Ovis aries: one gene and its partners. The protein of the gene in region 1 binds, or shares a complex with, the protein of each later gene. Links are inferred from orthologs where the notes say so. Each region holds a gene or a part of one and is shown in the gene's direction. Other genes may lie near its edges.

Evidence for each region.
Region 2: LAMTOR1 (region 1) and LAMTOR3 share a complex: the UniProt entries of both Homo sapiens proteins name them as parts of the ragulator complex. The link is inferred for Ovis aries from reciprocal best matches to the Homo sapiens genes LAMTOR1 and LAMTOR3.
Region 3: LAMTOR1 (region 1) and FNIP1 share a complex: the UniProt entries of both Homo sapiens proteins name them as parts of the lysosomal folliculin complex. The link is inferred for Ovis aries from reciprocal best matches to the Homo sapiens genes LAMTOR1 and FNIP1.
Region 4: LAMTOR1 (region 1) and LAMTOR4 share a complex: the UniProt entries of both Homo sapiens proteins name them as parts of the ragulator complex. The link is inferred for Ovis aries from reciprocal best matches to the Homo sapiens genes LAMTOR1 and LAMTOR4.

The regions. Positions count from the first base shown.
Region 1 is NC_056068.1:50,458,019-50,465,705, reverse strand, and holds the start of LAMTOR1 (ragulator complex protein LAMTOR1), read left to right. Parts: upstream 1-3,528; 5' UTR 3,529-3,601; coding exon 3,602-3,643; intron 3,644-7,687. Other genes in the region: TOMT (transmembrane O-methyltransferase), read right to left, coding at 647-905. UniProt on the Homo sapiens protein: Key component of the Ragulator complex, a multiprotein complex involved in amino acid sensing and activation of mTORC1, a signaling complex promoting cell growth in response to growth factors, energy levels, and amino acids.
Region 2 is NC_056059.1:25,126,691-25,133,715, forward strand, and holds the end of LAMTOR3 (ragulator complex protein LAMTOR3), read left to right. Parts: intron 1-767; coding exon 768-826; intron 827-2,292; coding exon 2,293-2,426; intron 2,427-3,701; coding exon 3,702-3,765; intron 3,766-5,510; coding exon 5,511-5,584; 3' UTR 5,585-6,511; downstream 6,512-7,025. UniProt on the Homo sapiens protein: As part of the Ragulator complex it is involved in amino acid sensing and activation of mTORC1, a signaling complex promoting cell growth in response to growth factors, energy levels, and amino acids.
Region 3 is NC_056058.1:20,550,469-20,557,493, forward strand, and holds part of FNIP1 (folliculin-interacting protein 1), read left to right. Parts: intron 1-2,439; coding exon 2,440-2,523; intron 2,524-3,675; coding exon 3,676-3,747; intron 3,748-4,788; coding exon 4,789-4,924; intron 4,925-7,025. UniProt on the Homo sapiens protein: Binding partner of the GTPase-activating protein FLCN: involved in the cellular response to amino acid availability by regulating the non-canonical mTORC1 signaling cascade controlling the MiT/TFE factors TFEB and TFE3.
Region 4 is NC_056077.1:36,678,728-36,686,249, reverse strand, and holds LAMTOR4 (ragulator complex protein LAMTOR4), read left to right. Parts: upstream 1-2,511; 5' UTR 2,512-2,566; coding exon 2,567-2,569; intron 2,570-3,061; coding exon 3,062-3,142; intron 3,143-4,974; coding exon 4,975-5,277; 3' UTR 5,278-5,440; coding exon of another isoform or gene 5,441-5,538; 3' UTR 5,539-5,770; downstream 5,771-7,522. Other genes in the region: TRAPPC14 (trafficking protein particle complex subunit 14), read right to left, coding at 6,619-6,772, 6,885-7,078, 7,289-7,443. UniProt on the Homo sapiens protein: As part of the Ragulator complex it is involved in amino acid sensing and activation of mTORC1, a signaling complex promoting cell growth in response to growth factors, energy levels, and amino acids.

The DNA.
Region 1 (7,687 bases):
GTCCTGCTCCACCTCTATCCTCAACTACCTGGCCAACTCGAAAACAATCACTCTAGGCTCAGTTCAAATGTTGCTTTCTCTGGGAGGGCCCAGGTGGAAAGCACCACCGAAATCCTAAGAGATCTTTGTTAGACCTTCCAGTTTCACTCTCCCTTGTTTTGTTCATTGAAATATCTTTCTAACCATTGAACTGGATGAATCTCTTAAATAAGACTCCGAAACACATGTGCTGGGAGATGGGATTCAGACAGATCCAAGCAGACAGCTACCCTGAATGGGACGGGGGAGCCTCCAAGGTGGGGGAGAATTACAGACCCATAATTACAAGGTTATGGATTATGTGCTGAGATGTTTATTCCCCTGTATTATGCCCCCTTTGAGGCCAGCCTTTGTGGCTGATTCATCCCTGTGGCTTCTACCTTTTTCTTCCCCAGCACTTAGCACACGCCTGATACAAAACAGGTGATAAATTTTACTGGATGAATGAGTAATTTTACCCAGCTCCCTCCTTTCCAGAGGAGAAAAAAAGAGACCCATTGAAGATCAAGAATATGCTCAAGTCACCCAGTAAGACAATGGCAGATTGTGGATCTTCCTTCACCATCTCGGAGGTGCTTCCTGGAGCAGAAGGCTAGGAAACACTGACCTTTGGCAGGCCCCATGTGGCTCAGGTACTCGCAGTGGCTGCTCCAGTGGTCCAGAGTGGTGAGGATGTGACCAGGGTCCCCAGGCAGGGCATGGGTGAGCACATAGCTGAAGGCCCGCTCCTCCATCCGCAGCCCTGACAGGCAATCTCGGAGGCTCCGGAGCAAGACTGTGCGAACCAGGAGTCGGAAGTAATGCCGGTACCTCACCAACAATGTCACTACCAGGGGTAGGAAGGCCAGCGCGATGGCAGGGGACATGGTCCCTACCTGGGCCCTGGGGTGGAGGAAGGGAGCGAAACCCACACGTCATTTGCCTGTCATTTGTGTAGCCCTTACAAGTGGCAATTATCCCCGTATTTTACACACCATGGCTCAGAAAGGCTAAGTTCATTGCCCAGAATCACACAGGAACTAGGATTTGAATCCAAGCTGGTCTGATTCCAAGCCCATAGACATTCAAGGATTGCATGCCACCTAAGTTCAGCACCCAATCCCAAACCATCTCTTCCCACTTCTGGACCCTGGTTCATCTTCACCTTGCTCCCTTCATCAGTTTTGTATCATCTCTGTAGTCTCCCTTTTCAGGACCCCTTTCACCAGTTCCTGTCTGAGTTCTCCTGCCACCTTACCCAGCACCTGCTTGGTCTCTGACCCATTACTGTGTAGCAAAATAGCACATCTTTGTAGTCAGGAACTCCTTCACTGTCACTGCTCTGCATCAGTAAAAGGCCATCAAAATACTCCATAGTGTGTTAGGATGAGATATCCTTACCACCACAGAACTCTCCCTCTGTCAGCATTTCCCTGGAAGGTGAGAATGGTCCTTGATTGGCATATTTATTCTCCAGTTCTGTCTCCCCTCTCCTGCACTCCCCTCCTCTGTCCTCTCTCAGAATTCCCTTCACGGTCACATAGATACACAGCACACACTTTCCCCTAACTCAGCCTCTTTTCTCTCCCTCATCTCGAGACACCCACCCCTCTATCCCCATGGACCCTGTCTTCTCCAGTGCCCTGGACCATTTTACCCCTTTGAGGCCACTGGTGGTAGTTGAGGGAGGGAGGTGACTAAAAAGCATGTATGAATGGGGTTAATAGATAGTTGAAGTGAAGTGAAAGTTGCTCAGTTGTGTCCGACTCTGCGGCCCCATGGACCATACAGTCAATGGAATTCTCCAGGCCAGAATACTGGAGTGGGTAGCCTTTCCCTTCTCCAGGGGAATCTTCCCAACCCAGGGATCAAACCCAGGTCTCCTGCATTGCAGGCAGATTCTTTACCAGCTGAGCCACAAGGGAAGCCCATAAGTACGTGGGTGATGGTGAATCTGAACTGGTGTGCTTGGGAACCCACATTCCAGGGCCCTGCTTACCTGGGCTGCAGGCTCCTGCTTGGGAAGATCAGAGCATAGGACAGGAGGGGGAGTCCTTGGGGTGAGGAAGAACCCTAAGGCAGGCTGGACTTGCTCTCAATTATTGATGCTGAGGCTGCTGTTGTTACCTGAGACCTGTGGTTCAAGTTACCAGCCCCAGAAAGTGCTGGAGTTGCCTCCAACCCTTCAGGATCCCTCAAAGAACTTACAGAACTCCAGGACCTTGATTTGAGGGAATAACAGAACTACTTGGTTTGGTGACATTTCCTCCAACCCCTTGATTCAAGACATGGGTTATGGTGTGAGCCAAGGTGATTGGGAGCTTGTAATTTATTAATTCCAAATTCTAAGCCAGTGCTAAGGATCGAGTCACAGAAAAAAGTCAGATCCTGTCCCTGTCCCCAGGAACTTCACCTTTGGTAGAAGAGACTGATACAGGGACAGAGAATACAATACAACGTGATCCCTAGAATGCGTGCTCCATGAACATCGGGACTTTTGGCAAGCAGACCAGGTTGGGGAGACAGTGTGTCAGCCCATGGGTGAAAAGACCAGAAAGTCAATCTGGTCAAGCTTCCTAAGTATTTCCCTGTGGTTGGAAAGGCAGGATCTGCAAGATCTTGCACGACAGTCTTGGACTTGTGTTCAGAGTCCAAGGGAAGATGTGTAACGGTTCTAACCACTGACTATGAGCTTTGTGTGTTAGATTGCTGCTGCTAAGTCACTTCAGTCGTGTCCGACTCTGTAGGACCCCATAGACGGCAGCCCACCAGGCTCCCCCGTCCCCGGGATTCTCCAGGGAAGAACACTGGAGTGGGTTGCCATTTCCTTCTCCAATGCAGTAAAGTGAAAAGTGAAAGTGAAGTGTGTTAGATTGCTCTGATGTAAAAAAGGCAGGATTGAAAAGAAATGCCTCTGGCCAAAGAAATCAGTGAGGTGGCCTCTACCTCCGCCACCAGGATTGAGCTCCACTCTGCTTCAGTTTGTGAAGGTATAAAGTCCCTTCTTCCAGTAAGTCTCAGAGCCCTACTCAAGGTTGGGTGCCACACCCGCTGTGTGCGCCCGGGCCTGGCGCCAGCCAACTAGGCCCTATGGGTGTGTACCCACACTGCGCTCTTCGAGCGTAGGGCCTGGATTCCACTTGCCCTTCTAATGTCATTCAGGAGAGTATTTCATAACCGCAACTGGTATAAATTCACTCACTAGCCCACAAATATAGCCTGGTGGCCTCGGGAACTCATACATTTCACACAAGAACTTTTACACCCCGCAGTGGACGTCTCCAGCTGAGACCTGCAAAAGCTGAAGTCATGTGACCCACCCCTCCCTTTCCTTGCGTCACGTGTCTGACGGCCTGTCACGCAGGGTGTGCCTTCCCATTGGCTGGCTATGATCACGCGGTAGGGGCGGGGCCGGAAGCTTGGGTTCTGGCGGCAGCCACGGCTGCGAAGCCGCTCCGGGAAGGGGTAGGCACGGGGGCGGTGGTTACTTGCTGGATCCTGGTGCCGGTCATGTGACCGGAAGGGCTCGTGACGGACGCCGTCCCTCCTCGGCGCGGCCTGAGCGCCCGGCCCGACCCCCGCCATGGGGTGCTGCTATAGCAGCGAGAACGAGGACTCGGACCAGGTGCGGCCGCCGCGGGCGGGGCTCGGGAATGAGGGCTGAGATCCTGGGGCATGGGGCCCAGAGAAAAGCGTGCAGAAGAGGGTCACCTGGACTGCAGGGCTTACTGAGTACGGAGGCCCGGAGGGGACAGATTACAGAGGAGACGCCAGCCGGGCTCCTGTTCCTTTTAAAGCCCGCGTTCTTTCTGCACACCCCCCCACGTTAAGATGTGCAGGCGGCCGCCTGTCCCGCTCGCTCCTGCCCCTTCCCCTACTTTCAGACGTTTACAACTTAAAGGGTCCTCAGCCTCCGTCTCTGGGAAAAACTCCCTTCCCAGCTTCTTGTGCCTTCTCTATGCTTGTATTAATGGGCTTTGTGAACCCATTGTAGAGGTGGGTAAGCTGAGGCTCTTGAATTATGTTGCCCCGATATGAATCAGAAATCTTTGTATACTCTGAATCCTTGGGGTTGAAGAAGGAAGGTCACTGCTGGTTTGGAGTCAGGGAAGGCCTCTGGAAGTTGGTGTCATTTGAGCTGATCAGTGAAGGATTTAATAGACACAGTGAGGGCATTGAGACGGTGGGAATTTGGAAGGCAACAAAACGGGTTTAGCTTTGGCTAGATGGCGGGGAAAGAGAGGTGGGATGGGAGCTCACTTTGGCCTGCCTCAGTGCAGTCCCTGCCTGGGGCCTGCGGGCTCCTGTACCTAGAGGGGTGTTCTGGGTATTCAGCTGTAGATCTGATTCCTTGGCAGAAAGGGTTAGGTTGGGGCGGCCTGTACAGTTTTAAATTCTGCCTCTTCCCCTTGGTGTAGTCTCACGTCTTGCTACACTTTAATCCCTGCCCTGCCTGCCTAACCTTTTTGAGGAGGGCAAGACCTTTTCAAGAAGTCCCAAGTTTGCTCTAAGTCCTAAGTCTCACTTGCTGTCTTGGTTGCCACTGAGCCTGGATTGTACATTTCAAAACATATTGACAGGAAAACTGTAGAAAGATTTCAACAAGTAGTTCACAGTCTAGAGAAGTAGATGGTCACAGAAATGGATTATGTCACTGGTATAGGGGAAGTAGGTCTTTCCCCAGTGACTCACATGAATCTATTTTGGGTCAAAGACTTAAGCTTGGGAAAAAGTCATTTGTATGGGAGGCACGGGTGGCCCCTGGATCTTACTAAGTCTCCAAACACCCAGTGAACATATATGCCTTATCTTAGGGATGCCATCCAGGCAGTACTTCACACTTCACCTCTGGTAAGAAATTGAAGATAATACTCGTTTCTACTAGGAAAGCTATGGCCTAGTGGGAAATTGTCCCCTAAAGTATAACAATGGACTCTTGCACAGAATGAGTCAAAGGTTAACTTTTTGTGAGAAAGGATACCAGCTTTTGGAATTTCTACTTTTCTGAATCTACACCTTCCCCTTGATGGGTTTCACTTCTGGTCCTAGCTCCCAGAGATGGTGCTTGATCAGTCCTGGGTGATTTTTTTTTTTTTTTTTTTTTGACCATGGACCATTTTAAAATTCTTTATTGAACTTGTTACTGTATTGCTTCTGTTTTATGTTTTGGCTTTTTGGCCAAAAGGCATGTGAGATTTTAGCTCCCTGACCAGGGATTGAACCTCCTTCCCGAGAAGGCAAAGTCTTAACACTGGACTGCCAGGAAAATCCCTGTCCTGGGTGATTTGAGGCCTCAGGTGGAGGTCTGCTTGCCTAGTCTATAAGCCATAACCATTCACTGTCCACTCTCTCAGGTCTTGGGCAGGCCTCTCTCCCATTCTCATATTGGACTCTTGGTTATAATAATAAAAAGAAAGGTACATTATGTTACAGTTTTCAAAGATCTTTTACAGTTATCTTGCTTAACTCTTGTCCAACATCTGTTATATAGGTTCTAGTTATGTCTATTTAAAGGTGAAGAAAAAGTTGAGAGAGGCTGTGATTTAGCCAAGCTTATAAAACAGAGGGCTTCCCAGGTGGCACAGTGGTAAAGAATCCACCTGCCATTGCAGGAGATGTGAGAAATGCAGGTTCAGTCCCTGGGTCAGGAAGATCCCCTGGAGCAGGAAATGGCAACCCACTCCAGTATTCTTGCCTGGAAAATTTCATGGACAGAGGAGCCTGGTGGGCTACAGTCCATGGGGTCTCAAGAGTCAAACACGACTGAACGATTGAGGAGACACACACATGCACACACAAAACTGGGAAGTGCTACAAGCAAGGTGTTCTGCTGCCAAGGCCTGTCTTTATCCATTGTGCTAAGCAGTGTCTTCTGGCTGTGCCCACAGACCAGGTGGCTAGTCATAGGCAGACCACATACATGTCTATGAAGAGAAGATGGTGAAACTCCTCCCAGGTTGATGCTGACTTTAGGACAAATCTTGGTGTGAAAAACCCTCCCGTGTTTACATTCACCCTTTTGGGGGTGGGGGCGATGTTATTTGTCCACTCTAACGGTAGTAGCATGGCCTCTTCAATGAGTTCAGGGCTCAGGAAGAGAATCTAGTTCTTTTCCTTTTGTTTGGCTGTGCTGGGTCTTCACTGCCGTGAGGGCTTCTCTCTAGTCGTGGTGAGCAGCATCTAAGTTGCGGTGTGCGGGCTTTTCGTTGTGGTGGCTTCTCTTGCTGGAGAGCACTGGCCCTAGGGCATGCCAGCTTCAGTAGTTACAGCACTTGGGCTCAGTAGTTGCACGGAGCCCTCCTGGGCTCTAGAGCACAGGCTCAGTAGTTGTGGCGCATAGGCTTAGTTGCTCTGTGGCAAGTGGGATCTTCCCAGATCAGGAGTCGAACCTGTCTCTCCTGTGTTGATAGGTGGATTCTTTACCACTGAAACCCATAACAGCCTTGTTCTTGAAGGACCCCGGATAGGGGAGAAGTGGCCTTGTCCTGCAGGAGCATCTGTCTGAAGTGGGGCTGGGGAAAAGATGGACATATAGAAAGCAACTCAGGCTTTATTATGGAGCCAACTTTCCTTAGAGATAGTTTAATCTTTGGCACACAGTTTGTCTTTCAAGTTCTTTAATACTTAGCCTGTGTTTTAGGTGGGTCAGGGGGTGTTTAAAGGAGTTGGGAGCTGATGAGGCAGGAGCCTAGAGCTTCTGTCTCACGCTGTTGGGAACAAAGGACATGGGCAGCCTAGGCTTGAGAAAGAAGAGTAATGTGAAAGGACTGACCTTGCCTAGGTTGGGGCAGGAGGAAGTGTGTTCTGTAAGGAGAGTTGAGGAGCTGTTGGCAGGGGAGCTGGGAGCCTGCAAGTGTGAAAGACTGTACTAGGAACTGAGATGGGCCTGGAATGGAGCACTAAGGAGTCTGGTGGTCTGGCACTGAAGGCTGATGAGTCAGCTCTAGCCAGGGTGGCCCCTTGTCCCTGGCATCATCCTGGGTACCCTTGTTCTTTATACTTTGGATACGCAGCATGATGGCTTATCCATTTTGCAGCTGACACAAAGCCAGCAGGGATTTACAGCTGATGGGCTCAAGGCAGGGTTGTATTCAAAAAGATTGCGGTAGATTAGATCAAGGGACTAAAACAAGCTGAGGAGAAATAACACATAGCATTATATAGGACCCGGGAGACTTGCTTTGGTCTCAGGTCAGTTCAGGGGTTGTGGTGATTGGCACAGGCCGGCAGAAACAGGACTGCTGACACGAAGGAAGCCACGTTCACAAAGGTGTGGCGGCTTGGCGAGGGCAGGAGCAGCTCCGTAAAGGCACTCTGGGAGCACCGATTTAGGTTGTGGGAATCCCACGCAAAGAGGAAAGGAGAGTGAACGCCTGAGAGTAGAAGGGGCCTACCCTCAGAAGGGACTCTTGGATGGCAGGACCCAGAGCCTGCAGCTGGGACTCCTGAGATAATATGAGAAATGGCTATCGAGAGGTTGAGCTTGCTTTCCCTTGGGGCCCAAGGCCTTGTCTGGCCTCACAGGGCCTCTGGGAGCAGACAGTCTGACCAGGGAGGATCTGGTCTGGGGGATCAGAAGGGCCATACTCGGGCTCCTGACTTATATCAGTGTCCCATCTAGACCCCACTGCTTTGGTATTTTCCACCTTCTCTGGTTTCCAGCCTCCAG
Region 2 (7,025 bases), on another chromosome or scaffold:
GATCCCCTGGAGGAGGGCATGGGAACCCAGTCCAGTATTCTTGCCTGGAGAATCCCATGGACGGAGGAGCCTGGCGGGCTACAATCCATGGGATCACAGAGAGTTGAACACGACTGAAATGACTTACACACACAAATGAGTACAAGTATCCCCATTTTCATATTAACTGAGGCTTAGCGAGGTTTTGTAATTGATGCAAGGTAGCATAAACAGTAAACACCAGAGCCTGAACGGGAACTCAGGTCTTTCTTACTTCAGAGCTGTGGTCTTGACCATTCTGTTTCCTTCTTGTGTAAGCGTGGTTCAGAGGATTGCCCTGTGACCTCCATTCTTTCTGTCCTGTTCTCTCAGCTTACAGTGATCTCCCCACTCCACTTTTCTTATTACCATAACGTCTCAGCTGAGGTACCACTTCCTCCGGGAAGCCCTCCCTGACCCATCTATCTGAATCTACCCCTCCTTTTATAAGCTCTCTCGTAGCCCCACACATCTCTTAATGGCAGTTCTCACAGTTGTAGTGTTAGATTTGTGTGAGGTAATCTGAACGATAGCCACTCTCCTTTTAGATTGCAAGTTGTGGGAAGGCAGCAACTGGGTCTCTTTTTTGCTTCTTATGGTGGAAGAGTTTTGCAAACATGTTATAGGAGCTTATATCCGTGATTGAGTTCTCATGGTTTTTCAGAAATCTATATGAGAATTATCATTATGATTTTGAAGGTACATATTTTGAGACAGTGTTTTATAATACATCAACTTTTCCTTTCTAGTGTTGAGGGGCTCCATGCTATTGTTGTGTCAGATAGAGATGGAGTGCCTGTCATCAAAGGTAAAACGCCACAATTACATGTCAGTGCCATGTTTGCTTTTGAATACAAATGTGTTTATATTTGGGTAATAGAGAAAGCAAGCAAAAAATAACCCATTTCAGTACATTCAGGTTGTGTGTTGAAGGATAGGTTGGAATCTAATTATATCTCAACTATTTCATGATAGGATGCAGAGTTTAAGTAAGGATTTATTGAAGGCCCAGTTTCCCATTAAAGACATTTTATGTATAATGTAAACAACTAGTAAATCTGAATCATGAGAATGAGCATATATGCAGCGAGACATATTATACCCACGGACTCCCCCAGCATATATTTTTCATCAGTATTGCTGGTGGTTTTAGGATAAACAGCCATACATTTGAATTAACATAAATTTATTGTTTTGTTTACTCTTTCTTATTCTTCCTTATTGGAAATAAGATTTTGAAAAACTTTTAACTTCACAGTTACTTTAGTTAACCAGAATCTAGCAAAAATTTTTGCTTGAAGAAAAGTTGGTTAACCTAAAAAAAAGGAAGAAAAGGTTTCTTTTTGCCTAAGGGTTTAACTCTTTTTTTTTTTTTTAAGTATATGTGATATGACAGAAAGGCTAAATAATGTTCTGCATATTTTGTTTACAATATATTCTCCACCTGAGGTTATCATATATGTCAGATAATTTCAGACTTTAGAATTCAATCAAAGTTTAGAAGTTAGCTAATATAGTTCTTTCATTTTATTAATGAAAATGGTCAAGTGCAAAGAGTAGATTGTCAGCTCCAAGTTGCTCATGAGTCAGTGACAAGATGGTCATAGAACCCATCATCTTCTGATATGTGATCCAGTATGCTTCCTAACCCAGCACAGAACATAGGTAGCCATGGGCAAATCACTTCCTTTTCTCAGTTCCATAACGAGGACTTTGAACAAAATAATCTCAGATTTTCCAGCTCCAGTGTTCTTTTTGAGGATCTCTGTTAAAACCTTAAGCTCAGCACTTACGGTACAACCAACTCCACATAGACCTTTCAGTGAGTATAAAAAACTTAAATCAGTGGCCAGGTGTAGAATTATCATCATCTACAAATGATGCTTCTGTGGGTTTTGTAAGAGCAAAGGTTAAAAGCTTTTTTCCAATATTCTCACTTAGCTCATAGTTAACCAGAATATTCAACTTATTAATTGTACTGATAATCATAACCTGTTTTAAGTTAGATATTAAGAAGATAGAGATGGTTAGTATTCATTTGAAATTTTTTGAAAAATTGTGAGAACCAGTATTTTTTCCCTTAGTTGTGATTGAATGGTTTTTCTCACCTAAACTGATGAGACCCAATTAGTATTATGAACTTCAGCATTGTGAAGCGTAACTCTTGTGCTTTTTTTTTCTACAAGTTTATGTGTTTTTTTTTTTTTAAATACTCTAAATGTCTTCTCGCTGTATATCCTACATAATTTTTACTTAAATCACTTGTATTTCCAGTGGCCAATGATAATGCTCCAGAGCATGCTTTGAGACCTGGTTTCTTATCAACTTTTGCCCTTGCGACAGACCAAGGGAGCAAACTCGGACTTTCAAAAAATAAAAGTATCATCTGTTACTATAACACCTACCAGGTAAGTTCATAATTATCAAATGGTTTGCTGATGATTTCAACTATTATTCTCTCTTCTTTGTAGAATAGTTTGTTTTAATAATTCTAAATTTTGGTTTCCAAAGTGATGGAATTTTAACATCTTCACCTTCAAATTGGTTATGTTAAACTGTAGTGATTTTTTTTCACATTTTACTTCAGGAATTAATATGAACAATTAGATTAAAAGATTGAATAGTAAAATATATATTATCCTCAAAAGGGTAAGTCAGGTCACTGTTATTAATACCTCCAGTAGATGGTGCCCTTAGCTTATTTAACAACTGTGATTTCTCAAATGACACAGTGGTTGTTGTTGTGACAGATACAGGATTTTCCTTGAAAGTCAAACGATAGTTATTTACATTTGTTATTGCTACTAATCCCATCTTTTGGCTTGATTATATAAATATATAAAATAAATGAGGTTATTATTTGTGGGAGAGAAATTAGTTGCTACAGATCTCTTGATCGCCAGCTGTATTTTCTTTAGAATGAATCAGTAACTTCTTCACAGTAGTAAAGAATCTGCCTGCCAGTGCAGGAGACATGAGAGACACTGTTTCAGTTCCTGGGTCGGGAAGATCCCCTGGAGTAGGACATGGCAACTCACTCCAGTATTGAGCAATTGAGCATACACTGCTTTCCATAGAGCAGAGTTTCCCAGGGTGTAAGTCATGCACTACCAATGATACATATGTGTTACTTTTTATTTTAAAGGTTATGTATTTTAGTATCTATTAGGCAGAAGATAACCAGCTCATCTGACCTTTAATTTAGTCAGTAAAGGTTAGGTTGAAGCTAAATTTTTTAAAAAGATAGCTGATTTTAAGTTAACTTAAATGTAAGTTAATTTAAATTATAGTGGTACAGAGGAGGCAAAAGATTGAGACGTTATAACCACTTGAATGACTGAGAAATAATGCCTTTAGCTCCTTAATTATCAAATATTTATTGAGCCCCTACTATGTAATTGACACTTTGCAGGGCTTTAGAAGATAAAAAAAGATGAGGAAGACACAGCCCCACCTTAGAAACTTTCCAGACTAAGTGATATTAATGTCTCTAAGAGATAATTAGTAAGTCTGTTTTACGGAAATACTTATTTTCAGCTCTTTCACCTTTCATGACGTAATACCATGATGTCAAGCTAGTATCTTACACATTTAAAGTTTTTAGAAAGATTAAGATATTTGATTTGAATTATACCACTTTTTCACTATATAACATTATACTTTAGATCTTGTTCTCTTTTTAGGTGGTTCAATTCAATCGTTTACCTTTGGTAGTGAGTTTCATAGCCAGCAGCAATGCTAATACAGGTATGTTTTAATTACCTTAAATACAGCTTTTAATCTTTATAATACCGGATCTGAACAGTCTAATATGATATGAATACAGATTTAGAGTAAGAAAACCTTAATGCATGGCCCAGCGCTACCATCTATTCCTTGTTTTCTGGAAATATAACTTCTCTGAATTGTTTATATATTATAAACAATTATTTATATAAACAAATATTGTATTGTTTATATCTGTATAATGGAGCTAAGAACTGCTTTCTTGATCTTATGCTATTATTTTTTTAGTTCAGATGAGATGATGTATAGATAAGTGATCATTTACGATAGGAAAATTAAATGTTATTTTCACCTCTTTAATACAGTATCTTGCTCACATTACAACAGTTTCAGAAAGCCAGAAAAAAAAAAAAATCAGTGGAGAAAATAACCAAACAAAACATAAAAATGATCACAGATGAATTCAGGTCCATAAGGACCGATCTATAAAATTTTGAACAATAGTGGGCAAGGTAAATGTGTTTGGGAATTTAAAGAGTGTGACTAGTATGAATATACTCAATTTTTTTTCAAAGTGGAAGAATTTGAGGGCTAACACTTGGAAGCTGTACTTTCTAGAGAGCATTGTAAGATCTCATTATATCCAGTGGTCTTCACTGGCTATTTTTGTGTAAAATCATAACAGTATTCAGTTGAATTACAATTTTTTTTTTTACTCTGTTTTAGTTTAAGTGGAATTTTTTAAAGGTCTGTCTCCAGGTTTCACCACTGTTAGCACTGCTTTACTTTTCTGTTCTGTTTTTTTCTTTCCAAGATATTTGAGCCAGTTTTGTTTCTGACTGTATCACTGAAGCCTGTATTTAGATTGCTCATGTTTAAAATGTGGGGTTTAGATTTAATGAACTGTTGGGTGTCTTTCATTTCTAAATGTTTTCAACCGTAAAATACTGTATGTGAAAACTCTTTGTATAGGATAGTAGTGGTGTCGGTATTTTAAATATGTTAAACCTCAGTTGTGGTAAATCACTATCATACTATAAAATCATCAGTTGTTATAAATTATGATAATCTCCAGAATTGTATTCTAGTACGTAGAACATTTCCTTGTGAATCCCAGGTGCTTTGAATGCTGTGTGAGACAAGAAGATCTTTAGTTGAGCAAAAAACAAGCAGTATTTAAGATATATAGCCTTCTACCCTAGGAAACTAACAAGCTGGATGTGCTGATTTCTAGATTAGCTTGCTTCTTTCAGTGTGTGTTTTATAGTCCTGTGAGGCATCTTTAAAACATTTTTGCCTTTGAAATATCCATTTGTGCCTTAGCTTTACTGAATTTATATAATAAGTATCTGATTATTTCTTTGCTATCTATCTGTTTTTTGATAAAGTTCATTAAAATTGGGTCAGGAAAAGGTCTTTTTTTTTTTTTTGTAAAAATCATGTGTATTATTCTTGAATTGGTGCAAATTTTGAAATAATGAGGTATAGATGAATTAAAGTTTTTCATAAAACTCCAGCAAAAGTATAACACATATATAATTCATTTTACATCTTCTAATACATATAATGGTTTTATTTATTTACATTAATAATAGATGAAAGTAAACTTCATAATAACTGTGTGTTTTCAATTACTTTGTTCAGAATCACAGTAGTTTGTTTTAAGTATAGTTATAGAAAATGAACTATGTCTCATTTACTTTTTAGTATATAAATTTTGATGAGCATTTTTCTAATGTTCAAATTTCTTAATCTCTTTGCTTTAGGACTAATTGTCAGCCTGGAAAAGGAACTTGCTCCATTATTTGAAGAATTGAGACAAGTTGTGGAAGTTTCTTAATCTGGAATTTTCTTCATCATATCAGACACAATATCAATCCAGCAATCTTTAGGCCACAGTGACACTTGTATCCATGTACTCAAGGACCCCCTTTTTCCACTTTACTCTAGAAAAAGAGCCTTACAGATAGAATTTATGGATGGGTTGATGGTTATCTTTTTTTGTGTAGGTGAGATCTGGGGATACCACAGAAATGGTTCAGTCTATCACAGCTCCTGTGGAGTTAGTCCAGTCACCAAATACGCATGAGATCCTATTTGGTGGCTCAGAATCAAAATGATACTTTGACCCCCTTGAGCCATGAAGTGCTCCCTTTTATACCATATGCCAGGCCTGCAGAATGAGGCAGACTCTTTTTATTGTGAATAATGGGGACATATTTTTTCTTCATATTATTTTCTTTGTATTGAGTGTGAGGAAGATAAAGTGGCCTAGGAAAAGTGAATGAAACGAGTACAATCACTAACTTTCATTTGTATATATTGTTGTGCACTGTAGGTGAGTCTCACTAACGAATTTGTTTCTTCTTAGAGGGTGCTGGTCTTTAATGGAAATGAAGATGATAGCTAATGGTTTTTTCTTCCACTCTGCTTTCTATAACCAATCAGTGTTTTTTTTAATGTTTGTTTAGTCTTTGTAAATTTAGGTGTGATTCATTATTGAATTCTGTTTCCAATATTGGTATGTATGTATGCATGGTAGTATATCCGTTTTTTCATACGTGAGGATAAATAAAATAGTATTTTTAAAAGTACAATTTGAGCACTACATAGGTTTCCCTGCCCCTGCCAGACTGTTTTCAAATGTTTAAACTGCAATTTAATTCATTCTTTCAACCACATAAATAAGTGTTTCTTGTCTAGTTTGGAGACTGTTTTACCTTATATAAGTTGTCAGTTGGAAAATAAACCTCATCCAGGAGCCTAATTTAATCTTTGTGTAATTGGCATCACAGTTCTAGCACGTGCTTTTCATTTCTAGGAATGCAGTCTATCATTCAAGGCTTTAATTTCCTCCTGGGTTCTTTGACAGTCAGAGTTCATCGCTGGTACCTGGCATTGAGTAGCAAATGTGTGCTGTTCACTAGAAGTACCACATTGCAGAATTCTAAGCCGCACACGTGTATGTCATATTTCTGTGCTCCAAGGATGCATTTTACATGGCATATGAGTGAATGCAGTCCTTCAAGTTGTGCGGTGAGTGGCTAGGCACTGGGCCTGCCTCCTTCCTTCCTCCCTTCTTCCCTTCTTCCCTCCCACTCTCCTCCCATCCTCTATAAATAAGAGAGTAAACCTGTCATTAAAGAATATACAGCTCAGTAAACAAAACAGGCATAGGAAGTGTTGCGATGAAGCTGTGCACAGGATGCTATAGAAAACACAGGATGAGGCATTAAAATTTAGCAAGGACAATAGTCTTTACAAAGAAATAAGGACAAGAC
Region 3 (7,025 bases), on another chromosome or scaffold:
AAATGTCCTAGGAAAAAGCAATAGTATGTTCATAGACCTAAGTGCAATAGGTACAGTGAGTGTAGAAAGAGTGTGAATACATCAGTGTGGGTGGAGCACGGTGTGAATATGAGTTAAAGGAAGTGAAAAGAAGTAAAGAAATGAGCAAGAGTCAGATCATGATGGAGATTGTGGGCCGCCACACTGAGAAGTTTCAAGTTATTCTTTGAGCAGTTGGGTGCCAGGAAGAATGTGTTAGTTTGGGTCTTCCACCTGATTTTTATCAGGTCCCAAGATAAGATTAAACATGCACAGATTTTAGTATTAATAAATAATATTTATTATTATTTCATGAGAGAAATGAAGAGGAAGCTGAGAAGGGTTCAGAGAGCCCTCAGATTATGGTGTAAGTTTGACCTTAATTGAAGGAGAGGAATAAAAGCTTTAGTGGACATGTTTTAGCATGCCACACTAGTCCAGGGAAGGTTTGATAAGGCTGTGGACAAGTCTTTGAGTTATACATGGTTGTCAGAAGTGACCCATGTCTTGCTAAAGTGGGCTTTACCTTGTTATACCTGCTGTGTTCAGTCATTGACTAGGAGCAGGCTATGGGGTATGTGACCTTGCCCAAATCTGGCAATGGATTTAAAAACACAGCAGCTGGGGTGCTTGGCCAATTTCCATTCTTATAGCTGGAGAGCTTTGTGGTGCATTCTCAAGGCCACCACAGAGGAGTTTTCAGAATATAGAAACATGATCAGATCAGATTTGTATCTGCAAGAGAATATTCTTAATTGCTTTGGGAAAGGACTCAGATGAGCCAGTGGGATTGAGAAAAGACCCATATTAGAAGACTGCTTATAATAGTCCAGTGACACATAATGGGGACCTAGAATAAGAGTGTGTCAGTGAGGATAAAGAGTTGTTGAGAAGTTTGTTGGGAGAAGTACACCAGTAATAAAATGTAATCCCATGAAAGGGTTTCAGGGGTCCCCGAAGAGGGTGCTTGGACCACATTTTAAGAACTGTTGAACTACAGGATTAGATATATGGGGAGAAGGGAGAAGAGTTCTGACAGTATTTAAATGTTGATGGAAAAGGAGGTTTACAAGGAAAATGAGGTTGGAAATAGAGGTGATACTGGTAAAGTAAAATTTTTGAAGGGTCTAGCTGATTTAGAATTAGCTTTGAAAGGGAGGGAGAGAGACCCATCTTGGAATTTTTCACTAAGGCCTCGCACAAAGAAAGGCTTGAATGATGTTACCTATTATTACCGCTCAGGCAGGAAGGAGGCAGGGATGAATAAGAATTAAGTCTGGAGATAGCAGTGTAGGAAAACGAGAGTTCCCATATGGTGATTCTTCTTGTGTACTCACATATACATACGCATACTGTAGGAGACAAAGTCATATACTCAGAGTAAGGAAGAGTAAGGAGTGAGATTAAAGAGAGCAGGTAAGTTTTGAGGTAAATAGGAAAAGTTGAAGGAAGAACTGAACAATGAAACATGGAAGGATTGCTGCACATTCACTGTAATTATAGAAACTCTTGTTATAGAAAAATACCTGTTAACAATTTAAAAATACATTTGTCACTTTTTTAAAACAGTAAAGCTGTCAGTTGTGTCCTGGATCACCCTCCTAGGTGGCTCTTCAGGCCATCTGGACTAACCCTAACTAATAAGTAACTCAGGTGCTTGCTTCCAGGCTCTAATGTTACTCTCTCTTGGTCTTCAGACTCTTGCCTTCTCTTGGTCAAGTGTGCGGCAGCTACTGCCTTGAGCAGCTGGGAGTCTGGCCCTGACAGGCTGCATTGGCTTTCCTGCTTCCATAGTGGCTGACCTCTGCTCTAGGAGCTCTGGTTTCTCCCATTAATTTATAATTTAGCACTAGTTTAGAAAAATCAGATCCATACTTACTTGTCAGTAGACCGCTTTTCTTTATTTGCCCTTTGTTTTATGTTGTGTACATTTTTTTTAGCCAAGCGCTTAGGTGGTTTTCTTCTTAATTTTAGTCACATAGTACTATAATATTAAAATTGATTTTTTAAAGGATAAATTCATTTGGCAAATATCAAATTATATATATAACATCACTGTGCTTTTTTAATCTTCAAAAATATTGTTTTAGATGAGAAAGGATTGAACATTTAAAATAATTTTTACCTTATATAGTGGAAGCTTATAAAATAATTTTACCTTACATAGTGGAAGCTTATTTTATTACTATATGTGGACTTAATAGGCATGAAATTGTTATGGTGTCATAAGCCATGGCCAGAAGGAAACCATCCTGTTTCAAAAATAGGAAGTCAGCTTGAATTATTCTTACTTAGTTTAAAGATTTCCATTCATATCTGTTGGTCTGCTTTTGTGCTGTCTTAGCTCACCTTTTATTCCTGACGCATTGTGGCTTCTCTAACAGCCCTCTTTCATATGTATTTTACGTTTTTGCCATGTAGGTCTTTCACAGTTCTGCAGCCCCAGGCGGGCATTCTCTGAACAGGGTCCGCTCCGCCTGATCAGGAGCGCCTCTTTCTTTGCAGGTTTGCCATGTGCTGTGTGGGTAGACTAGTTGGTGTGCCCCAGCGGCTAGAATTCATAGTTATGCTGTGGAAACAAGAGAGTAGAGAAATGCATTTGGGGAAGATGTGCAGTTAAGAACTTAATATCTTTCTATTGAATATGTTGTTAAGGTTTCCAGAAACTAACTTATGAGTAGAAATGACATTTACATGAAATTTCAGTTTGTGATTTCTTGCCTTATTATGTAATAATGATTTTAACTTTAGAATCCTAAACCAAAATATAGTATGAACAGTATTTCTTAAAATACCAGTTGAATTTCTAATGTGATACTATCTTGTTTCCATGGCTGAGTAGCTTTTGTATCATATAGTTCATCAATCACAGAAAATACTGTTGTTGTGCAATTTCTGATCTACACTATTCCATAAAAATGATTTCTCTTGGAGCTAAGATTCAGATGAACAAGCACCATTATATTCTATAAAAGGCATCTCTGACTATAATTTTTTATATTGATATCACTAAATAGATGATTGTAGACTGTGTTCATGCTTCTGTATCCAGGAAGTTGTATCCAACTTCCTGTTTTAATTAGTATGTATTTTCCTTAGAAATATAAACAATGTATATACAGTATAGAAAATTTGGAAAATACGAGAAATAGGCAAAAAATATGTATTAGCCATCTTGTCAACCAGAAATACCTCCTTAGTTTTTGTTTGTTTTAAAACGAAATTGGGATTATACTGTTCAGTTTTCTTAATTTTTATTATAGAACTTTAAAGCATACATTTATATAGACAGAACAGTAGATTAACCATCATATGCCAATCACTTAGCCTCAGCAGCCATTGTTCTTACTGGTCAATATCTCGCCTTTTTATCATGTAGTAGTATATTGTGAATATATTCATGTCATTGAATGTGCTTCTAAAATGCTTATTTTAGTCACCCTTTGCTTCTTTATATATTATGTCACAGATTGTTTACACATAGATCTCAAAGCTTGTTCAACTGAAGAATAGCTCTTGGTGTTGGGTTTGTGCCATGCTGTTGAAAAAAATAAAGGAATGCAATGAGATGAGCATGATTTAGTTTGCTATTTTAAAAGGAACATCAACCTGAACAGCACTGTGTTTTATAAGTCACACTTTTGTCTTGATTCACAGTTCACAGCAACCCAATGGACATGCCTGGAAGAGACCTGAATGAGGACAGAGACAGTGGCATAGCACGCTCTGGTAATGATAGGTTCATGTGTTAATCTGGTTTTTATGAGATCACTGTTACCTGACATTGATTTCCTTTTTAATCTGTTTTAATCATTTAATTTTATGTGTACAGTTTGTTGGTATTGATATTAGCCTAACAAGAGAATTGTAGAAACAGCAGAGATAAGTATTTTAAATTAAATTTTTTTTCATGTTTAATAGTAAAAATGTGCCTGTTGGAACATGGCCTGGATGAATACACACTCAGTCAGAAAAATAATATTGCTCAAGAGACTACTTAAATAGCATAGTAGAAAAACATTTGCTTACATCTGTTTTCTCCCTCCTGCTGCTGCTAAGTCGCTTCAGTCGTGTCCGACTCTTAGCGACCCCATGGACTGCAGCCTACCAGGCTCCTCCATCCATGGGATTTTCCAGGCAAGAGTACTGGAGTGGGGTGCCGTCGCCTTCTCCGTGTTTTCTCCTAACTGGATTTAAAATGTCAGACTGTCTCTTGCCCAGAGAAACTTAGGTATTTTGAACCAGTGTTATACATATTTCTTTGAGATATCTACTCTTCCAAAATTTGTCTGACGAAGTTTTATTGAAACATTCTGAGGATTTAAGAAAAAACAAAAAAACACCCACTCAGATTATATCCTTAAAGAGCACAGGTTCTAATGATAGAGAGATTAGCGAGAAAAATAATCTTAGTTTATTGTATGAGGTGTTCTGAGATAAACCTGTGCAGAGAGGTTCATCTAAGCTTGGAGACAGTGCCATCATCAAAGGAATAAAGATTTATTTCAAAATAGCATTTTCTTCTGGAGTGGGGTGGGAAAAAGGATGGCAAAAGGATATCAGGATCTCTTGCTGAATCACTTTTATTATGTGATTTTTTTTTCTGGGACCTTGCTCCAACAATGATATATATATTTTTTTAATGGAGATTTTAGAGCTTCATTCAGCAAAATGGAAATTTTGAGTCACCATTTAAATTTATTAAAAAGAAATTTGTTCCTGTTTTTAGTTATTATTAACTTTGTACTTGTTCTTATTCTGACTTGACAGCATCTCTCAGCAGCTTGCTTATTACACCATTTCCCTCTCCAAACTCCTCACTTACCCGAAGTTGTGCCAGCAGCTACCAGCGACGCTGGCGACGTAGCCAAACAACAAGTTTAGAGAATGGGGTATTTCCTAGATGGTAAGTTGGAACTTTTACTTTACCACAAGATTGAGTAGTTCCTTAAACACAATTTTGTATGTTAAGAGCCTGGACATATATTTTGTATTTTTAAAGTCTGCAACTGGAAAATTTTAAAGTGTATTACTTTTTTAAAAATTGTGTTATGTTATGCATAACATACAATATACCATTTTAACCATTATTATCAGTGTAGTTCAGTGGTGTTAAGTACCTTCACATTGTTGTGCATCCATGACCATTCACATTCAGAACTTTTTTTATCTCCCCCAACTGAACCCGGCATGAGTCCATGGGATCGCAAAGAGCGGATCACGATTGAGCAACTGAGCTGAACTGAACCTCTGTAGACATTAGGCAGTAATTCCCCCATTCCTTCCTCCCTTTAGCCCCTGGCCACTACTATGCAATTTTTTCTTTTTAAATTTGACTACATATCATATAAGTGGAATCATAAAATATTTATCCTTATATACCCAGAAGTGGAATTCCTGCATTGTATCATAATTCTTTGTTTTTGAGGAACTGCTATATTTTTCACCAAAACGCCCCACTGCTTTACTTACATTCTCACTAAAAATGGCCAGGTTTTTTTTTTTTTTTCTATCGTGCCAAGCTGCGTGATGGATCTTAGTTCTCTGACTAGGGATTGAATCTGTGCCCCTTTCATTGGAAGCATGAAGTCCTAACTGGTGGACTGCCAGGGAATTTCACTCCCCCGTCCCACCTCTTCACCCCCCTGCCCAACCACTAGAAATGCACAAGAGTTCTAATTTCTTCACATCCTCATCAGTAGTTAATTTCCATTTTTTAAAATTAATAACCATCTGTATGGGTGTAGAATGATATCTCATTGTAATTTTGATTTATATTTCTCTAATAGCTAGTGATGTTGTTTTCATATGCTTATTGGCCATGTGTATGTTTTCTCTGGAGATATGTCTGTTCAGGTGTTTTACTCATTTTTTAATCAGGTGTATTGTTGTTGTTGTAGTAGTTCTTTATATACGAATGAATATCAATCCCTTATCAGATACATGTTTTGAAATATTTTATACCATTCCATTGGTTGCCGTTTTATTTTGTTGATAAGACTTTGCTACTCGTGCGTTTGTGTTCAGTCACTCAGTCGTATCTGACTCTGGACTCTGTGACCCTATGGACTGTAGCCCGCCAGGCTCCTCTGTCCGTGAGATTTCCCAAGCAAGAATACTGGAGTGGGTTGCCATTCCCTCCTCCAGATCTTCCTGACCCAGGGCTTGAACCTGCATCTCCTACACTGGCAGCCAGATTCTTTATCACTGAGCTACCTGGGAAACTGCTTTAGATACACAGTTCAATTCAGTTCAGTTCAGTTCAGTCGCTCAGTCGTGTCCGACTTTTTGCAACTCCATGAATCGCAGCACGACAGGCCTCCCTGTCCATCACCAACTCCCGGAGTTCACTCAGACTCACGTCCATCGGGTCAGTGATGCCATCCAGCCATCTCATCCTCGGTCGTCCCCTTCTGCTCCTGCCCCCAATCCCTCCCAGCGTCAGAGTCTTTTCCAATAAGTCAACTCTTCGCATGAGGTGGCCAAAGTACTGGAGTTTCAGCTTTAGCATCATTCCTTCCAAAGAAATCCCAGGGTTGATCTCCTTCGGAATGGACTGGTTGGATCTCCTTGCAGTCCAAGGGAGTCTCAAGAGTCTTCGCCAGCACCACAGTTCAAAAGCATCAGTTCTTCGGCGCTCAGCCTTCTTCACAGTCCAACTCTGACATACATACATGACCACAGGAAAAACCATAGCCTTGACTAGACGGACCTTAGTCGGCAAAGTAATGTCTGCTTTTGAATATACTATCTAGGTTGGTCATAACTTTTCTTCCAAGGAGTAAGCGTCTTTTAATTTCATGGCTGCAGTCACCATCTGCAGTGATTTTGGAGCCCCCAAAAATAAAACCTAACACTGTTTCCACTGTTTCCCATCTATTTCCCATGAAGTGATGGGACCCAATGCCATGATCTTCGTTTTCTGAATGTTGTGCTTTAAGCCAACTTTTTCGCTCTCCTCTTTGACTTTCATCAAGAGGCTTTTTAGCTCCTCTTCACTTTCTGCC
Region 4 (7,522 bases), on another chromosome or scaffold:
ACCCAGATGATATGTGGCCTGGATTGTCTGAGTTCCTTCACTTCAGGTCAGTTCAGTTCAGTCGCTCAGTTGTGTCCGACTCTTTGCGACCCCATGAGTTGCAGCACGCGAGGCCTCCCTGTCCATCACCAACTCCCGGAGTTCACTCAGACTCAAGTCTATCGAGTCAGTGATGCCATCCAGCCATCTCATTCTCTGTCATCCCCTTCTCCTCCTGCCCCCAGTCCCTCCAGGCATCAGAGTCTTTTCCAATGAGTCAACTCTTCTCATGAGGTGTCCAAAGTACTGGAGTTTCAGCTTCAGCATCATTCCTTCCAAAGAAATCCCAGGGCTGATCTCGTTCAGATTGGACTGGTTGGATCTCCTTGCAGTCCAAGGGACTCTCAAGAGTCTTCTCCAACACCACAGTTCAAACGCATCAATTCTTCGGCGCTCAGCCTTCTTCACAGTCCAACTCTCACACCCATACATGACCACTGGAAAAACCATAGCCTTGACTAGACAGACCTTTGTTGGCAAAGTAATGTCTCTGCTTTTGAATATGCTATCTAGGTTGGTCATAGCTTTTCTTCCAAGGAGTAAGCATCTTTTAATTTCATGGCTGCAGTCACCATCTGCAGTGATTTTGGAGCCCCCCAAAATAAAGTCTGACACTGTTTCCACTGTTTCCCCATCTACTTGCCATGAAGTGATGCGACCAGATGCCATGATCTTTGTTTTCTGAATGTTGAGCTTTAAGCCAACTTTTTCATGCCATGATCTTCGTTTTCTCAATGTTGAGCTTTAAGCCAACTTTTTCACTCTCCACTTTCACTTTCATCAAGAGGCTTTTTAGTTCCTCTTCACTTTCTGCCATAAGGGTGGTGTCATCTGCATATCTGAGGTTATTGATATTTCTCCTGGCAATCTTGATTGCAGCTTGTGCTTCTTCCAGCCCAGCGTGTCTCATGACGTACCCTGCATAGAAGTTAAATAAGCAGGGTGACAATATACAGCCTTGACGTACTCCTTTTCCTATTTGGAATCAGTCTGTTGTTCCATGTCCAGTTCTAACTGTTGATTCCTGACCTGCATATAGGTTTCTTAAGAGGCAGGTCGGGTGGTCTGGTATTCCCATCTTTTCAGAATTTTCCACAGTTCATTGTGATCCACACAGTCAGCGGCTTTGGCATAGTCAATAAAGCAGAAACAGATGTTTTTCTGGAACTCTCTTGCTTTTTCGATGATCCAGTGGATGTTGGTAATTTGATCTCTGGTTCACTTAGCATGTTTTCAAGGTTTATCTGTGTGATAGCATAGATCAGTACTTCACTCCTTTTTACAACTGGACAATGTTCCATTGTATGGATATGCCGCATTGCTTTATCTGGTCTTCAGTTTATGAATATTTGGGTTGCTTTCCATTTGGGGGCGATTATGAGTGATGCTGCCATAACATCTGTGTACAAGTTTTTGTGTAAACATAGTTTTCAGTTCTCTTAGGTATGTATGAAGGAGTGGAATTTTTAGGTCCTATTTAACTTTCATTTATAAATATAGTAACTCTATTTAACTTTCAGAGGAACCACCAATCTGTTTCCCACTACAACTGCACTATTTTACATCCCTACCAGCAATGTATGAGAGCCCCAATGTCTCCAAATCCTCATCAAGCTTTTTTATTAGTTTATCATCATTTTGCCTCACATTAATATTGCAGCAGGTCTAAAAACTACTTAAATTAAAACAAAAAATTTCTAAATGACACTCATATATTTAAAAAATTACCCCAAGGTCATTTTCTAATTATTCCTGGCAGAGAATATTCAGTATTGCAGCTGCCTTGGCTGCTGCTGCTGCTGCTAAGTCGCTTCAGTCCTGTCCGACTCTGCGACCCATAGACGGCAGCCCACCAGGCTTCCCCGTCCCTGGGATTCTCCAGGCAAGAAGACTGGAGTAGGTTGCCATTTCCTTCTCCAATGCATGAAAGTGAAAAGTGAGAGTGAAGTCGCTCAGTCGTGTCCGACCGTTAGCGCCCCATGGACTAGGGAGGTATAATGCTCTATCACACAGTTTCTTACAGAATCCCGGGACGAAAAATCGCTTTGGAACAAATTCCTGTCAGAGAGCTGCCTGAAGTAGGCACAAGAGTAGCATCTGAATAGCTCTCTATCTACGTCTTTTGGCTCGCTCAGGATTCCACTTGCGAGCCACCTAGCCTTGTTGGAGTCTGCCCCCGCCGCCCCCGTGTGCGCAGGCGCAAACTCTCAGCCCGGCCTCCCTCCGGCCCCGCCTCCAGACCCGCCCCCCGCCGACACGCCCCCCTCCTTCGCGCTCTGGGGCTAAGGGGAAGGGAGATGAATGTTCAAGAGGATGTGCGGCCAATGCGCGAGCGTCTCGGAAGCGGCGCTCCGCACTGGCAGAGTAAGTCTGATGACGTAGCCACTCTCCAATCGGCATCCTGGGGGCGGGACTAAAGTCGGGCAGGGCAGGGCCGGAGGAGGAGACCGCTGGGTGGAAGCACGTGACCGCGGTCTGGAGCCGGAACTAGGTCTGGCTACAAGCTCCCCCAGCACCTAGAGCTGCGATGGTAAGTGAGGACGCATGCGCGGAGTTACGCGCCGCGCCGGCGGTTCCTTACCCCTGTCCCCCAATCTCTTTGGTTGCGGGGTCCTGAGCGTGCCCTCCGGCCTCACCTCCTATTCTCCCTGGGACTGGAAGGAAATGGAGAAGGGAGGGGTGGTGACGTAGAAGGCCAAGGAGAAGTCGCTGGGAGGGTGTGTAGAAGCTGGGGACTAGTCTGAGGGGGAGGCGCAGGCCACAGGTGCGTTTGGGGAGGGGGCCCTTGGGGTAGCAAAGGTGACGTGTGGAAAGCTGGTGGCGCCCGGGCGGAGGAGAGGACTGACGGAGGCTCAGGAGCATCAGTGTTGAAGGCCGTGTAGAGGGAAGAGGGTCTGGAAGGGCCCTGGCTGGGTAAAGAGGCCTGGAGCGGGGGCAGGGGGCACTGTCAAGAGAGGCACTCTGGTTGCCCAAGGGCCATCCTTTCGGCCTACTGCTCACTAATTGCATCTTTACCCACCAGACTTCGGCACTGACTCAGGGGCTGGAGCGAATCCCCGACCAGCTTGGCTACCTGGTGCTGAGTGAAGGCGCGGTGCTGGCGGTGCGTTCTGGAAACGGGAGGGGGGGTGCTCCAAGTACACATGACTCTAGGATGCCTTCTAATGTTGCCCTGTTTGGCCCGATTGGTCTCTGTTCTTGTCTTTCCCTGGTATCACGCCTGGCGTGTAGGAATTAAATCAATTAATCAATCTCTGGACTCTCAGTCTTGTAACTATCCTGAGGTAAAAGAGGTTTACTGACTTTACCAAAGTCAAGCAAGTTACAGGTTTGTTGATAACTGACAATCCCCAAGTTACTCTTGAGTATGTCTTTATTTGGTATTTATTGAAGAGGCTTGGTATTTTGTTCTGTAGTACAATACAGTGTCAGCTCTAGAAGTTTTCAATCTAGCTAGAGACAAGGCTTAAGGCTAAAAGTTCAAAGTAGTGCATGTGGTTAACGCAGCTGAAGGAGTCCAGAAAGTGAAGGATTCAGCCCTTCATACTATAACTTGTGTTTTGGCAAGGAACCTTCCTTGGACGAGGTAAGAATTCATCTGGGCTTAAAAGATGGATGGATGACAGGAAAGAAAGAATATTCAGAGTTGGGAGGTGGACATTTTGCAGGAGTGTAACACCAGCCTATCTGAATTGGTGATGGGGTTATGTTGAAAAGATTTGGAAACATTTGGGGGAAGAAGAGGATATGGTGAGGAAAGGTCCGATTGTGAAGGACTTTCAAGGCTAGGTTAACACATTTGGATTAATCTTGAAGGGTTTTTGAACAGAAACAAGCTGATGAAGTGATTGAGTAGCATTGTTCTGTTAGGCGTAAAGGTAAGACAGAAGGGGCAGGATTCAAAAGCGGGGATGCTGTTGCCAAAATGTAGGTATGAAACCTCTGGTTGCAATGAGAAGCAAGGAGAGAAGGGGTTTTTAAAGGAAGAATTGGTTTGTCTTTGTAATGACTAGAGTTCAGTAATAAAGGGGATACTTTTCTATCCTGTAAGACTTTGACCTCAAGCCTAGAATGATGGTGCCTTAACCAGCAGGGACTTAAGAAAGGAAGTTGACTGGAGAGGGGGAGAGATAGGGGGGATTTTGATAGTGCAGCTTTAAACACTAAGTTTGATATAGAATAATAGGGTAAACTCCAGGAGTTAGTGATGGACAGGGAGGCCTGGCATGCTGCGGTCCATGGGGTTGCAAAGAGTTAGACACAACTGAGCAACTGAACTGAACTGAATAGCCGTTAAATAGATAATGCCAGGAGCTAATCTGAGCATCTTGCCCCAGTACTCTTGTGACACTCACAAGCACGTAAGATAGGTACTGATGTCCCCAGTTTACAGATGAGGAAACAGGTATAGAATCCAGCAGGAGGGCCACCTTGAGGAGGTAAGAAGTTGAGATCATTACCAGAAAAGAGGAAGCCCAGGCCACTGTGACGTCATTATTCAAGGGCCAGGTAGTCCGAAGGGGTTCAGAGAGAAAAGGGATGTTTATGTTTCAGGTTCTGCAGACAGGGTGACAAATGAGAAATGGGAAAAGATGGAGCCTGGGACTCTAGCTGTGGTGGGTGGGCACTAATCTGTAAGAATGTGATTTTTTTCAAATAAGTGGAGACAGGGAGAGAAATGAAGATTCAGGGATTGGGGAAACAGGGTCAGTAATGGACAGAAATGGATGAGAGTTCCTACTTCCTCAGGGAAGCCCAGTATTTTGGAACAAGATGGCATCAAGAGGGGCAACAATATCATAGGAAAGTTTTAAGTTTTTCCAATACTAGGGGTGATGTTGCAGTGTTGGAAAGTGGAGACAGGTTACACAGAAGGGTTCTTGGAGTTGCTTCCCAGTCTGTCCCTGATTCCTGCCCCCCTCCCTCTGTGTGCAGTCATCCGGGGATCTGGAGAATGACGAGCAGGCTGCCAGCGCCATCTCTGAGCTCGTCAGCACGGCCTGCGGTTTCCGGCTGCACCAAGGCATGAGCGTACCCTTCAAGCGTCTGTCGGGTGAGCCCCGGCCTCTGGTAGTGGGGAAGGGGGGTGGGGTGCTGCTCCCCAAGGCCACTCTTCTCAGGGAAAGACACCTGTCTCCTACCAGCTGCCCACCATCTCCTCTGGAATCCTTGTCTTCCCTGTGGTATTTACCCCTGTATCAGAACTATGAGAAAAGCAAGAGAAGGGAGGGGATTTAATGGAGACCTCCCATCTTCTAATCTCTGAGCTTTGACCTGTTGAATTCCTTTGGCTTTGGATCCTAGCCAGTTTGTGTGCGACCCCCACTGAGGCCCCCATAACCCACTAACTCTCTGCTCCCTTCCCTCTCCCGGGCTGGGGGAAGGTGCGTCTCCCCTCCAGTGGTCTTTGGAGAACACACGCTGCTTGTGACCGTGTCGGGACAGAGGGTGTTTGTGGTGAAGAGGCAGAACCGAGGCCGGGAGCCCATTGACGTATGAGCCTGCCCGAGGGCGAGGGGCAGAGGAGGAACCTCTGTGCTGAGAAAGATGGGAACCTCCACGGCCTCTCTCTTGGTGCCACTAGAACTAAAGCTGTCTGCTCACCGGCTTCCCCACCCTGACCTGGAAGGGCAGAGGCTCGGGGACTTTGTACTCTGTTAAGGACAGTGAAGGTGAGGGGACCTCCCTTCTTTTCACCCTGCCTAATAAACATAAGTGTGATGTTCCTGGACCTGGGGATGTGTTGTGTGTATTGGGGGAGGAGAGTCATACCCCATGTGTCTTTCAGCTTCCGGGCCCTCAGCCCAGAGGCGTGGGGTGGACAGATAAAACTGGAAATCAGAAGAAAAAAAACAAGTGGGAAGGGAGCTATTTGGTGTACAGGCTGGAGGGAATCTTTCTGAGCCCTTAGGTCTCTGCCGCTGCCACCAACACACAAGTAACAGTCTTTTTCTCCCTCCTGAACAGGCATTTAATAGTCTTATTTCAGTTGGAAGCAGTAGTTGGAGAATAAGTTACAGGGACAGACAGACCAAAAAAAAAAACAAAACCCAAATCAAAAATCCCACACAACTTAAAGTGCTTCAGGCTGCAGACGTAAACATGAGGACGAGGGGAGGCCACCTAGCTCTCTCCCCTGACCTGAGACAGGAGGGTCGTGTCATTGTTGGGTCCCTTTACCATCACCACCCTCTGATCTCAGCCCTGCGGGTGGGAGGGAGGGAGGGAATGTCAGAGGCGGGGAAGACAACGTAAGAGGAACAAGGAAAACACTTTGTAAACTTAGAACCAGGGTGCAAGGCGGGGGGCAGGGGAGCTCCTGGAGCCACTGCCCTGGCCAAGGGGTGGGGCCAGCCCCCCCAGGAAGTCCAGGAAATACTGTCGGCTTCACACTGCAGCCATCCCCGGCCATTTCACAGCTTCTTCCCTCGTCCCTCATCAGTAGACACAGACAGGCGGCTCTGTGGGGGGCCCCCTCACCCTTGGTGGGAGGCTCCCCGGGGAGGCACAGCCTGCAGGGAGCACCCGCGCTGGGGGCTGTCCATTTCCCGGAGTGTGAGAGGGAGGCGGCCGGATGGTTTACTTGACCGGCTCCACCACCAGGACCTTGCACTCGCGTTTGGCGATCTTGTCCAGAGAGAGCACAGCCTTGTCCGGGGGCAGGTAGAGGGGGCGGCCGACAGGGGAGGCCACAGGGGGAGTGATGGCCCGGCGCTCCATCACACTGCCCGACCTGGAGGAAAGTGGAGGCTGTGGGCTCTGGCCGGACCCCAGGGTCCCGTCCTCTCCCTTCCCGATCCTGGCCTCTACCAAGCCCTCGGGGTCCTCCCCATGCAGTTCCATACCTCATGAGGTGGCTGCGGGAGGGCTGTTGGTGGGAGAAGGACTGAGAGCGGCCGAGGCTGGCCTGGTGCCTCTCCACCAAGTCCCGGACGGCAGGGCTGCTGGGGCTGCTCTTGCGCGAGAGGGGTCGGGCCTCGGGTGGCGGGTGGGACACGCTGGCAGTGAACTGCAGCTTCAGCTTCATGTGCTGGCTCAGCTGGGGTGGGGAGACACAGATCACCGGCCAGCTCGGCTGCCAGGCCCCCGACCCCCTTTCAGGTCATCTTCCCCACGTGACAGGCCGAAGTCAGATCTAAAGCCCACCTTCCCTCCACCCGGCTTTGTAGCACCCACCCATTTATGCTTCAGCATAGAAGCCAGCGGCCCTGACCCCTCCCACCCCGATGCTAGGCCTCACCCAGCCCACCTCGAAGAGCCCAGTCCGCAGAGCCTGGAAGGCCACGCTGAAGGTGAGCGCGCTGCCCTTCCGGGAGAAGCCGAGGTTGTTGAGGGGTGTGTGGCAGACGATGGAGTCCAGGGCTGCCTGCATGGCCCGGCGCTCCTCCTCACACAGCTGCTTTCCTGAGGGGCAGAAACAGGGCCGGGAAACAGCTCTGTGCAGCCTTTCTCAGTCTGCAGAGGGCTTTCATGAGCACAGTCT